Linked DNA regions of Lytechinus pictus. The protein of the gene in region 2 interacts with the protein of the main gene of each other region in a pairwise test. Links are inferred from orthologs where the notes say so. Each region holds a gene or a part of one and is shown on either strand. Other genes may lie near its edges.

Region 1 (4,565 bases), on a different chromosome or scaffold from region 2:
ATGTTAGCAGTGCATTGACAAAAATGGGAACACTGTACAACGTTCTGTTATTAATTTCAACATGCATACATGTAGGTTGGGACTCTCCTTTACATAATACCAACATTTGCATCCTTTTAGATGGACGATGTGTTTTCCAGATGCATTCACACAGGTCTGCAATAAATACAGCAGTGAGGCACGCTTACATACAGTAGGCCTATAGCAGAGATTGTTAGACATCCTTTGAGATTGCACAATCTTATCCCAGACAGAAGCTCTTATCAACATCATAGCCAAGATTTTATTTTGGAGGGGGTGCGCTTGGGGGGGGGGGTGGCATGAGGGGGGATTTTTCCCCCTCCATTGCAGAGCTTTCTATACTTTGTCAAATTTAAATTGGAAAAATATCGCTCTCTCTTTTTAATACTTTTATCAGCTTAAATTCAATTGACTTTGTTGTGATTATAAATGCGGTTTTCAAATAAATTGTGAACATGCAAAAAAGGGGGATAAGATGGAGTAATGAAAATAATTCCATTTCCCCCAAAATGGGAAAGAGATAGCATAAAAACCTCTTATTATTATTTCATTTTTTGGAAAGACTTCCATACGTACCCCCCCCCACCTAAAATAACAAAAGATTGTCGCACGCATTGACTTTTGAACGCGCGATGCGATATGTCGAACGAAGGGCAGGGGATGTCGAATCTCGGCCGTGAAACATGGCAATAAATTTTAAGATTATATGAATTATTGAGATGGAATCTGAAAATGAATATTGAAATTAAAAATAGACAAATATATCTAACAAACATCACTTTGTGAAAAGAAATTTTACAACAAAATAAATTGCAGAAATTGTAACTCACTGTTATTGTTAACATATGTCGAATCTTGGGCATGTTACTCTACCTCAGTTTGTTTGGCTAATGAAATTGGACCCAAGGCTAAGCCAGGTCGCAAGTAGACCAAAAGCTTTGGTCTCTGTTCCGCTGAGGGACCCCCCTCTCTCTCTAGTTATCTCTCTATCTATCAAACTCGCATATACAAGAGAAGAATCTTACTAATCAAAATATTGCGAGCTCAAAGCACGAGCTGACATTTTTTTAAATATTCAAAACTGATAGAGAGACACATTTTAAACAATCATGAAACTTATTAATCATGTATTAGCTTACCAATCGAATCATTCGATTACGACAAGATCTGAGAATTGAATGTTTTTAGGAATTCATTCAAAGCATAAAATTGTATCTCAACATTAAAATAAGGCGGGCGCAACGCATGAGCTAAAGCTTTATATACCAATAAAAATTTTGGACATTTTAAGTATTTTCAGTAATCGTGAAAAAGATTGATATTTCATGAAAGCTCAAATCCCGAGGAGGAATATTTATTAATTGACTTTAAAAAAACTGTTCTAAGCCCCATTTAATATTTGATTATAAGTCGCGTTAAACAGTAAAAGCGGAAAAAAAATAAAGTATTTTGTGTTCCTCTATCATAATTCTCTTTCTCTTTAACCCTGGTTCCTTTTTTTTTGGGGGGGGGGAGTATTTTGGTTTAAAAAAAGAGAAAAAAAGAGAATTGCTGGCTAGTGGGTGTAGTGGTAGGGACACCCCCCCCCCCCCCCGTAGTTACGCGTTACGCCAATTTGGGACCAAATGATCCTACATGTCCGAGGCGAAACCTGTGCAATCAATTAAACATTGTTTTTTTTTTAATTAAAGCTTGCGCTGTGTAACTTCAATCTCTTTCACCTAAATTTGCGATGAATGCTATAATTATAAAATATATAATTATCAACGTCTGGCGAAAAGAATAACCAACCGATCAGCTGACGAGAACGCATATCACGTGATCTGCATATCAGCTTCGATCGCGAGGCAGAAGTGAAGAGCAACTGCCAAGAAAATCAGCAAAAAGTCGTCAAAATGTAAGTTCCCCTTTATTTCTTTCAATTTCTTTTGTTGTTGATAACAACTTATATGTACCCACTCACACAACATGCGAGGTTAGTATACATGTACTAACCTCGCACAACGCATGTCATTTCATAATGAATTTTGACGTTTTCATTCATCTCACGAATGGGAGAATATGAAACACGCCTAAATCTTCACAATATACTAAATTTAGTCATCTTAATCTTATAATGTAATCTAATTTTAAAAATCAGCACGAACTTATCTATAAAAATGGATTTTAAACGCTTACCTCCAAATCTCAGCCAGTTACTCCGTCTGATCCTTAATACTGCAGTGGAAATTACGCAAACAACAATCGAAATGCGAATTTTTCCTATCGAACAGTCTAGATTCAAGTCGCCGGCGCATAATAGGAAATTGTACCAAAAATCAACAGGTTGCATGTCACGCATAATCGCTGATGGCGCTACATCATAAAATAACGCTGAACAGCGAAAAAAATGCGGAGCGCCTAGAACGCAGCCAGCAGTACAGCTGATCTGACGTAAACGACGTAAACAAGCAAGTTTATTAAATAATATCGCGCGCCCTCTCTGTGCGTATAGAAAGAACCAGCGAATCGGGGCCATGCCTGCTTCGACATCAAGAAAAATCATCGATATAAAGTACCAGAAAGACAGAGAGGAATTGAAATTGGCTTCATATCGTTTTGTAAGTTTCATATCCAAAGCTTATCTGATCTTAAATCCATATATATTGCTAATTTAAAATATATAGCCCGAAAGGCATTGCAAGTGCCGTGCAAGTGGTTATCCTGTGGACGGCGGCGGTAATGTACCCATACTATAGGTGATATGTACCCTGGCTTGAAATAAAATTGCATGTTAGATTAAGAATAGGGCCTAGGGCTAGGGCCTATAGCTCGTACTTGAAATATAAAATAGAAATATCATCTTCCCAAAGATTCCTAACCCAAAATACTAGTGATGTCGCCTATGAGCTCCATACATGTTAATGTTTGGACCTCATTGGTACTAGGAGTGATCTAAACTAAAACTAGCCTTGCCTGGCCTACCAGTGCCACTAACAGAGACCACAGCACAATTTGCTACATGTGGGACTTAAATTAATTAAAGTAAAAAGACCAACTTCGCGCTACATTGCACAACTCAGCTCACCTTTGGCAGTCTTGATGGATTGTTTCCATTAAAACGTGAATTACTGTAATGCTGAGACCCCATCTTGATGTAAGGTTGAACTACGGGTAAATCACATTAAAAATAAAATACACAGAACTTTAATAGTCAGGTCTCGATCTTCACTAGTTAGAACTTAATAGGAGTCTCAATTCGTTGTTTACCGTTGTTTAGCGATCAATTATTCCACTCGCTCCAAATCGGAGCTCCCTCTATCGTCTTTTACAATATAGGCTGTGCAGAAGCAATTTGGTCCAGTAACTTGCTTTGAATGTTTTTTTCGATTCACTTACATTACACAATTTTTCTCCTAATATCCATACATTTATAAATTTCAATTCATCAATCTTTCCCACTTTTTTTTCACCCTTCTTATATATTCATTCTTCAAATTTCTTGTCTTACACTTACCAATTTCCTCTCAGAATAGTAGTGTGTGTGTGTGTGTGTCCTTCTAATCTTACTTTCAGTTTGTTTTCCTCATATTTTGTTGCATCGGGGGGGGGGGGGGGGGGTCTTTGCCATTGATTAGAGTGGTACAGCATCCTTGAGAAAAAAAAGCAATAAAGAGTAGCATTTTTCGCAGTTAGGCGCAGAACATGAATAAAGTGTCAAAAATAGAAAAATGAAAAAAGACTGAGCCCCCTAAAATCCTAAATCACTAGCTAAAACGCTATTGAAGGCTGTGTGATGGCATTGACATGAAATCCCTGTTTGAGCAAATCTAAGTCATATACGTGCACAAATCTGTGTTTAGGGTGCACTTTTTTTCAGGGCAATGCATGTAGATGCTGTTCAATGGAAGTGACACCCTCCCCAAGTCCATTGGTTTGGATCGCTTATTACCTACACTGCATGACTTTGACCCATTATTTCTCTTCCTTTCACCTTACATCACTCACTGAGTCAATCAACAAGCACTAACAATGCAATCACAAAACAGGGTTCAAAATCAATGTACTGAACATGTTAAAGAAATACTTTAATAAAAAAAAAATGCAATCATGAAATTGAATAACTGCCATATAACAGGTCAACAGCTAGAGTAAAACTTCTATACATAATGGCATAATGCCGTAGAGAACAGAGTTTTCAATTTTAAAAAATTCAACTACATGTATAATGCTTTCTCAAGATGTACAACAGTGTTGTCAGACAATTCATTTAAACAGTGTGAATTAATGTAAACATTTATACATTTGAAAAACTTTTATTAACTTTTAAACATATTGCAAATAATTTAATTAACTTGTGTACATTTTTTCATTAAACTTCAACCATCTTCATACTTTCAACACTTAACATTAATTCCACTATTTCAATTTGATTCGCAGTTGTCACATGTACAATGCGTTTGTCAACATTATAGTTGGCGCCTCCTTATTTGTTTGCAAAGCAACCATTAAATAAATAATCTTTTTGAAATAATTTTGATATCATTGTTGTACACGCTGATTCT
Region 2 (4,565 bases):
GAAAATTTGACAAGCAAAAAAAATGGTTATCACCCCAAATGTAAGGTCATCTCTTCCAAACTACATGTTTTATTTTGATTTTGAATGATGTATTTCTTTCCATCATAAAAAAAACAAAAATAGTAGGGGGGACATTTGATATTGTGTCCCTCCTACTTTTTTTGGTAGGGAGAACGTGTTCCCCCTGTCCCCCCTGAGATTTCCGCCCATGACTACCACCACCACCACCACCACTACTACTACTACTACAGTACTACTATTACTACTACTACTACTAACTACTACTTCTACCACCACCACCACCATCATCACTACTACTACTAAGTCCTACATCTCCTTGTTTTTCAATCAATTGACACAGGGAAAATTGGTCTTGACTATTAACATTTATATAAATAAGAGCAAAATTTCTTCCCTAGAAGTATCTTGGCTAGATGGCACATTCGCACATGAACAAAAAATGAGATCCTTAAACTGAAAATGGATGGACTTTATGGTAATAAAGGCTTACACGAGGTGGATTGAAGGGGTACGTCTCTGGGACTTCGATGTGTAACTTGAATTTACCACCCTGGTACGGTGTGTCTGGTGGTCCTATGATCTCCCCTTGGAGTTTGGAGTAATCATTGATTGGAAATTCAATCTTGATCTGGTTCTTAATAGCCTGCAAAGAAAGGAAAATGATACGAAAAACTAAAATAGATAAATAAAGTAACAATGATATTACTGAACAAAAAGTTTGGCTCCTTAAATAAAAAAAGTAATGACCATGGAGCACATTCTGGGGAGTGTTTCATGAAAGGATTTGTCAGACATTTTTTTCTGATAAGTCTGCTTTATTCCAGTTACCCTAGTAACAGTGCTTCTAAGCCAATCAATAGGCTTATCTAGGAAAGTCTCAGATTTGACAACTTGGCAGACAATAAATGTTGATAAAAATCTCCCCCAAAAGTCCGGTTCAACTTCCATTACTTACAAGTAAGTCATAACTTGTGTGTGATCTACATGTATGTCCATTCCAGAAAAATCAGTAAGATACATGTAGGCTACTGAAGAAATATTACACCTCCTGCAGGATGGATAAGATACACACTCTTACCTGCACATCCGCATTGGACAGCTCTATAGTTAATGGTCTGTAATTAAGTAAATCTGAATGAATCTTTTACACTGGAGGCAGATTAATAAGAAGAGGAAATCTATAGGCTTAGCATATATGCAATAATTGTCAAAATTTGTCCTTTGTGATCTATTGTACATTATTTCTAAACAATTTATGAAATATTTCTTGCAAAATTCTTCAAATTGCCTTCTTTTCTGGATTAACAAGCAGTATACTTCCTGACAAGAGATAGCCTATGGGCATGGCCCCCTAGGAGCATCTCAAATGACCTTAAATATTGGGGCATTTAATCAATATTTATATCCGACATGTTTGCTTGCATAATAAGCATTAAAATAAATCCTGTATAGTGATTGGTTCAAATACAATGTACATGTAGTATCATGTAACCAAATATATTCTAACTATGATGATTTGTGACGTTAGACCTCAATATAATTTTCGATATACCAATATTCTGATGTCATTATTTGAGAAAACTACATGCAGATACCGGTATTTACATGTAGCTAATCTCTCTGGTACGCCGGTCAGCAAGCTGCCTCTCCCGTGATGTGTCAGCGCTATCAGCATTCCATTGAGCATGGTAGCTTTGGGAAAGTACATGTAGGTCATTCAATGCAAGTTAACGGACTCTGCAAACTCAGTGCACCGATTTTGGTTCTAATTCATTAAAAGTAGGAAATACGACAAATATAACAGGCATTTCCTTTGAAAGCATTCTTGGTTTGACTGGCAATATAACTATTCTGCACTCAGGTCTTCACCCCAAGGGAAAAATAGTAATCGCCAGACCAACCTTGGATAAATAACTCCCACTATTTCACAAAGCCCGATATATGTAGGCTATACTGTTACCATGGTAACTGTCCAACAAGTCTTTTCATGAAATACTCCCCTGACACTTAGAGACAGTCTCTAGTTTTAGGAGACATGCATCCATCATTCCATCTAATATATAACTTAAAGATATAACCTTGTCCTGTAATACTACGGTGCACAAGTTTAAACTAGGCTTGACAATTGATCTTCTTTGCTTATTCTTCATCTCGTGAGTCAATAATAAACATTTTGCCAAAACACTTTCTTGTACAGTGTAATCATCATATACATGTATCTTAGCCAGCTTAAATCCTACTTTTTAATGAAACTGATTATAAAACTTCAGTTACCCGTTCCTGTACTTTCCACCAATACTAGATCTACAATGTAGGCGTATAGAGAGCCTCACAGAAATAAACCCCAAAATGACAGATTTTGATTTTGACCACACTGGTGAACAAGAAAGTCAGACAAGGGTAAGAGCTAATAAATATGTTTATATTAATTCAATATTTTTTAATGTATATCCTAGCAGTACCAACAAGTACTGGATTACAAATAGACACATGATATCTGGATGTTCGAGACTGTTGGGAATGTGTGGTAGATGGAATTCCACCCTTCTAAGTGCCAAACGTTGACAGTCACTAACAAGAGGAAACAGATTCTTGGCCGGTATGGCATCACCTAGAGTTTGTGAGTTCTGCCAGGTATCTTGGTATCCACATTTACCACAAACTCAACTTCAACAGTCATGTGGATACTGTCAAGAAAGCGAATTCTGTCACCGCCATCCGATGACGGAAATTTAAGCACTGTAGGCACAAGATCAAGGCTACATACTTCACATATGAATGCCCAATGGTGGAATATGCTGCAACAGCATGGGACCGAGACACACAGTGGAATGTAAACAAGCTTGAAATGGTACAACGAAGGCATGCACGCTACGTCACAGGTGACTTCAACCAAACATCCAGCGTAACGACTAACGACCGAAAACCTGAACTGGCCATTGTTACTCACCAGATGTCTTGACAGTGGCTTGCTTTGCTGTAACGTATCTGCTTCAATCATGTTCACATTACCTGGCAGTCCTTCTTCAGTGAGCTGTCAAAAGCAACTAGGGGACACTGATCTCGATTTTGGACACCCCACTGCAGCAGTCAGACCTATGATTCTTCCATCTTCCCAATCCCTAGTTAACCTGTAACTTAGGACTGGAACAATCTCCCACAGGATCCAATCCATTACCCTCTGTTGATGCCTTCAAGGCCTTCTTGATTGGGGTGCAGAAGTAAACACCACAAAGGATGCTTTTACTTACTATATACGCACCTGCACTACAAGAACAAGACCTTTTAATAAGAATGTGAAAAGTTCCACACATACATGTACATACACAACCAGTGCATTTATCTTCATCACCTAGGCAGCACTTACTCTGGAAGAAGAAGATCCCTAATTGTTTGTTGTGCATAAGGCAAGATGTTAATATGCTAGGGCAACCTTTATAGATTTCTCATCAGCATTTAATACTAAAGAACCCCATATACTCCTGGAAAAAGTAGAAAAATCTAAATGGTCAGCCATCTCTTATACTGTGGCTTCATGATTTTCTCCATGAAAGGACACAGAAGGTTAGGGTTAACGGCATTCTCTCTGATGAAATAACGACAACCATTGGTACTCCACAAGGGTGTGTTCTCTCTGCGACCCTTTTCACCCTATACACCAATGACTGTATATCATATAACCCATCTACTCACAAACTTAAATATGCAGATGATACGGTGATAGTCGGATTAATTGAAAATGAAAATGAATTGGATTATATGGATACTATCCATACGTTCGAAAATTGGTGTGAAGCAAACTGTTTACTCGTTAACTCCAAGAAGACAAAAGAAATTGTCTTCGACTTCAGGCAAAAGAAATCCTTTGAACCCACTGATAGACCAGTACATATAAATGGTGATATTATTGACAATGTTGAAGTTTATAGATATTTAGGAACGGGAATCGACAGCAAACTGTCGTGGGATGCAAAGTCAAAATGCACTTTGACCAAATGCAACCAACGGTTATATTTCCTCAGAAAGTTAAAGTACTTCCATGTAAATGATAGGATCCTGTATCTATTTTACCAGTCGATCATCCAGAGTATCATTACTTTTGATTCAATCATCTGGTTTAATAACGCAAAACAGAGAGATAAAATAAAGCTTAGAAGACTTGTTAAGCAAGCCAGCAAAATAATGAATAACACTGTTGACTTTCGAAAGCTCTCTCCATTATGTCTGATCAAACCCACCCCCTGAATAGCCAGTATATTCAATTAAGAAGTGGACGAAGACTGAAATCTATAAAAGCAAGAACCAGTCGCCGCATTAATTCATTCGTCCCTTTCTCCATAAGAGTTGTCAATGAAATACAGTAGAATAAGGAGTGTGGTTTATCTGTAGAAACAAAGAGAAAATGTAGCAGACAACTCTGCAACTTACAGTACATGTCAATAGTAATTGTAGAGTTTTAGAGATGAGAAAGTTGGGAATATATGTCCCTTTTATCTCTCACTGTACCCCCCCCCCCCTCCCCCCGCCCGCGACTGCATGTCTTA
Region 3 (4,565 bases), on a different chromosome or scaffold from region 2:
ATTGTATGCTATGTTGATTTCATGCTAGTAGATTACATTTTTCAATTTTTCACACGCCGTACCATCTCCATCCATACCACCTGGGACATGCAATGAACATTTCATCCTTTTGTTTGCATGCGCATACACTCACTACATGCAGGGAGGTTATCATATTACGTGTATGTCATTACTCTCAGAGTTCAAAAGAAGGCTGTACATTTAGTGCTGCAAGTCAGGCGCCATGTTCGGGTTCGGTTCGGTTCGGCAAGGTTCGGCAGAAATTTGCCGAACATTGGTTCGGTTCGGGGTTCGGTAATGATAGGCTGATAAAGCTATAGTTCATTCAGCTCAGGTATACGTAGCGTACCGGTAGACAATTTGTACTTGATTGACTGCATGTGCTCGCGTGTACCTCTGTCACATCAAACCATTTTATCTCTATCTTGTTGACATGAAACTATGAAAGTTATAGCGCTCAACGAATTTGATTATCTGATGACAGATTTATTGGGTATCTCACAGTTCTAAAATGGCGACTCTTCCTAGTCGTCCATACCTGGACCACACTTTGGATACTTGCCAAACGCTCGCACTCGTACCAGCTAGCGCTAGGCTAGGCCAGCGCATGCAGCTCAGTCCCCTTGGCCTTGTAGCGGCACTCTGAGCTCATGAATATTTATACAGTCCGGCCAAACGTGATTGGCAATTGCATCACATACGAGGCGGCCAGCGCCAGTGCACTGAACTGTAGACATAGTAGGGCCAGGGGCGTGTCGAAGAAAGCGTGCTTATGTAATGCGCCTTTCGCTAATTGGCTCGATGGGTGAACTAAACCACCAATCGCATGTCGCTGATTGTCGCATCGGTACATACAGCCACGTGCTTTGTCTGCTCGCGAAACTCAGCTCACTGATTGAAGAGCAATTCCCGAGATTTCTATGATTTCATTGGTCAGATTTCATTCGACCATGAACATACAGACCAAGTGGGATGCAAAGTTTTACGACTGCAATGGGACAGGGGGAGTAGAGTGATCATCGCATTGTTTATGGTTAATTTGAGAAGTTGATAAGAAAGGAAAAAAAAGTAAAGATTGGGGGTCATTTTCCCCCAAGAGATGAATGTTTCCGCATGGCTTTATCTACATTCAACTTGTCAACGAGGGGAAGGGGATCTTGCTATATGCTATACCGTAATCATTCATGAGTGTTTGATTTTTATTTTCATCTGATTGTTAATAATAAAAAAGATAACTTCACCTCATCTCATTTCTATATTATTTGTTTTGCGTCTCTCCTTTCCATCTCTAACAGTCACTCACTTTATTTCCCACTTTCACTGGATCTCCCGTTTTCAAAACTCTTTACTTCTCTCTAAAATCATGAAAACTAGACAGTAGCGAGCCGACACCTCAATAATAATGTCAATCACCTCAATCAGATCTTTATTCTCCGCCGCAACAATACACGAGTTACGATCTTAATCACATCGTATCGTAATTCGTAATATTAATGGTACTTCATCTTTCACTTTCAGTTTATTGAGCTCGTTCATTCAAAATACTTTGAAGATTTTCAAACAAGAATCTTGTTCGCCACCTAAAAACAACAATATTTTAGATAATTAGATTTAACCAATGAACACTCATACAGTTTTGGTTTTCTTTACCATGCTTCGGCGATTCGGCCACAGAGCGAGAGATGATGAAAGCCAGTAAAATGATAATAGCGCAAGCTCGCGCAACATCGTTCATCGGATCTCCTTTCTTAATCAGGGCCGTAAAAACCACAATGTCAACATGAAAATGAAAACAAAATCTAGTAACCGCAAAATAAGCGCATACTTCCAACATACAATTGCAAAGAAGATTAAATAGAGAATGCGCAAATATGATGATTAGAAAGGGTGTAAACTTATAAATTTATAAGCTGAAAGCCGTTTTTTTTTTTTTTTTTGCCGAACTTCCGAACCAAGTCTTAGTGTTCGGTTCGGTTCTGTTCGGTTCGGAAGTGCCATGTTCGGCGAACTACCGTTCGGTTCGGCGGTTCGGCTACAGCACTATGTACATTCTTATTTCATCGCTAAATCTAGTACGTGTATTCACACTTTTCACATTTCTTATTTCATTCAAACAATCACACACACGCACACCCCACACACACCTTCACACAAAAAACATCAACCACTCTGCACAACCACTACCGTAATACTTGGTGCAAGCTGAAAGAGGGGAAAAAATCTTTTTGAAGATACCATAGAAAAACTCGCTCTTCTTGCACTTCACTAGGTGGTACGTACTGTACGCGTACCGACTGCTTATGTGCAGCGCTGAGCTTCAAGCGACCGAGTGATTCCAAAATAGGTGTAAAACTTTGTAAAAAAAAGTGTCAAAACGGCAAATATTCAACTTCTACTGGACTTTGGAGGCTCAGATGCAAGTATTTTAGGTTGTGAATTATTTAGGGTGAGATTGTACATGTTTGAAAACCATTAAACGGGGAGGTGCGAAACTACACTAGCGCCGAATAAGATCTTCTAAACTCTACTAGTTCTCGATCATGTATTGTCTCAGTATTTATGATTATGATCGCAAAAGGCATGAAAGGTTCCCTGACTTAGTCCATCGAAAAACAAAAGAAAACAAAACAAAGCCAGTTTTGATTCGAAAAACAGAAATGATTGGCGCCTCGATCGAACGCGCGATATTATTTGACTTAGCACCGCCTGAGCTGCCGCGGCCGCGGCGACCCGAGCCCGAGCCGCCCGCGACGGGCTCGAACTCAACTTGCTCGTCTGTCATCCCTGTCTGTTGCATCTTTATATGGCCTTGTCCTTGTCTTATTATATGTGTTCATTGCAATTTTTATCCTCTAAAACAAAATAACTTGATCCTAGACCTATACTTACCGGTTCTTTCGTCTAATTTTTGCCTAATATTTCGCCGCCGATCAAACAAGACTCAAATTTGGTGGGCAAATAATGACCGTAGAGGGCGTTGATTACTTACGTAAAAAATAAAATGGCAAAATTTCAAACGTCATCGCATCAGAGAGAGGGGGGGTCGATAAAAATATATAGAAAGGGGGGGGGGAATATTGGATAAACATAGCAGCATAGGGTCGCCAATTTGATCTTAACCTCTGTAAGGGAGCCAAGTTGGTGTTCAACTTGGGGTGGGAGGGAGGCGCCACTGATATTTACCACATATTGGGTCGATGCCCCCGGGATGACGATTGATGGGCAAAACCAAGTTTCAAATTATTAGGGGATAATTAAGATTAAATATTATAGGTCTATTTCAAATTCATGACAGATTACGAAACTATAAGTGTGTAAGTATTAACCAAGAACCCTTAAGGCCCTTAAAGGTCGATCAAGTCCACTCCATAAAAAAATGTTGATTTTAATCAATGGAGAAAAATCAAACAAATTTCTCTTAAAATTTATCTTATTTTTCACCAAAAAAAAGTTATAATTAACAAGTGATATGTAAATGAGAGAGTCAATGATCACTAACTGGGACCATTTCTTTTGGGTTTTTTTATTGTTCTTTCTAAACAATCAGTGGCGTAACTACGGGGGGGGCATGGGGGCACGTGCCCCCCCCCCCCCCCCCCCCCCGAATCGGCTGGCCCCCCCAAAAAAAAAAACGGGTAAAAAAGAAAAAGAGGGAGAAAGGGATAGAAAAGTAGTGGGGTAAGAAGAAATTATTGTTAATTATAATGTTAAATTATATTATAATTATGTTATGTTATATTACATTCAAATATCATAACTTTATGAAACAAAATTTGCGTAGGGCCTATGTCTTCATTGTTCCTGGTGCTCGCATTGTCTGTTTTACAAGATATATAATCCTGTTTTACTATAAAACCTCCCGTTTTCAAGTCAATATACACCAAATATATTTCCTCGCACTTCGAATTATTATCGTTTTATGTAGTGACATATGCTTCTTTTTCATGGCTACTTAAAGTGATTGCCCCATTTTAAAGGACAAGTCCACCCCAACAAAAAGTTAATTTGAATAAAAAGAGAAAAATTAAACAAGCATAACACTGAAAATTTCATCAAAATCGGATGCAAAATAAGAAAGTTACGACATTTTTAATTTTTGCTTAATTTCACAAAACAGTTATATGCACATCCTGGTCGGTATGCAAATGAGGAGACTGATGACATCATCCACTCACTATTTCTTTTGTATTTCATTTTATGAAATATGAAATATTCTAATGTTCTCTTCATCGTCAAGGGAAACAACAATTAATTCCTCCCTGAACATATGGAATTAGCATTGTTTAATACTATATAGTTCAGTCAAGGTGGTCCTCATCAAATACGTAAAATATGAAATATTGTATAATTCAAACAATACAAAACAAAAGAAATAGTGAGTGATGGACATCATCGACTGACCCATTTGCATGTCACTGAGTTGTGCACATCACTGTTTTGTGAAAAATAAGCGAAACTTCAAAATGCCGTAACTTTTTTAATTTTACATCCGATTTTGATGAAATTTTCAGCATTATGTTTGTTTGATTTTTCTCTATTTTTTCAAATCAACATTTTTCTGGGGT

What was found.
Region 1: the proteins of ubiquitin-conjugating enzyme E2 K-like (region 2) and RING finger protein 32-like interact in binary tests that used the Homo sapiens proteins (3 or more experiments, as listed by UniProt). The link is inferred for Lytechinus pictus from reciprocal best matches to the Homo sapiens genes UBE2K and RNF32.
Region 3: the proteins of ubiquitin-conjugating enzyme E2 K-like (region 2) and E3 ubiquitin-protein ligase TRAIP-like interact in binary tests that used the Homo sapiens proteins (3 or more experiments, as listed by UniProt). The link is inferred for Lytechinus pictus from reciprocal best matches to the Homo sapiens genes UBE2K and TRAIP.

The regions. Positions count from the first base shown.
Region 1 is NC_087247.1:20,142,047-20,146,611, forward strand, and holds the start of RING finger protein 32-like, read right to left. Parts: upstream 3,319-4,565; 5' UTR 3,152-3,318; coding exon 3,089-3,151; intron 1-3,088. UniProt on the Homo sapiens protein: May play a role in sperm formation.
Region 2 is NC_087249.1:33,557,725-33,562,289, forward strand, and holds the start of ubiquitin-conjugating enzyme E2 K-like, read right to left. Parts: upstream 3,023-4,565; coding exon 2,678-3,022; intron 665-2,677; coding exon 512-664; intron 1-511. UniProt on the Homo sapiens protein: Accepts ubiquitin from the E1 complex and catalyzes its covalent attachment to other proteins. In vitro, in the presence or in the absence of BRCA1-BARD1 E3 ubiquitin-protein ligase complex, catalyzes the synthesis of 'Lys-48'-linked polyubiquitin chains.
Region 3 is NC_087258.1:25,779,043-25,783,607, reverse strand, and holds the start of E3 ubiquitin-protein ligase TRAIP-like, read right to left. Parts: upstream 2,996-4,565; 5' UTR 2,890-2,995; intron 1-2,889. UniProt on the Homo sapiens protein: E3 ubiquitin ligase required to protect genome stability in response to replication stress.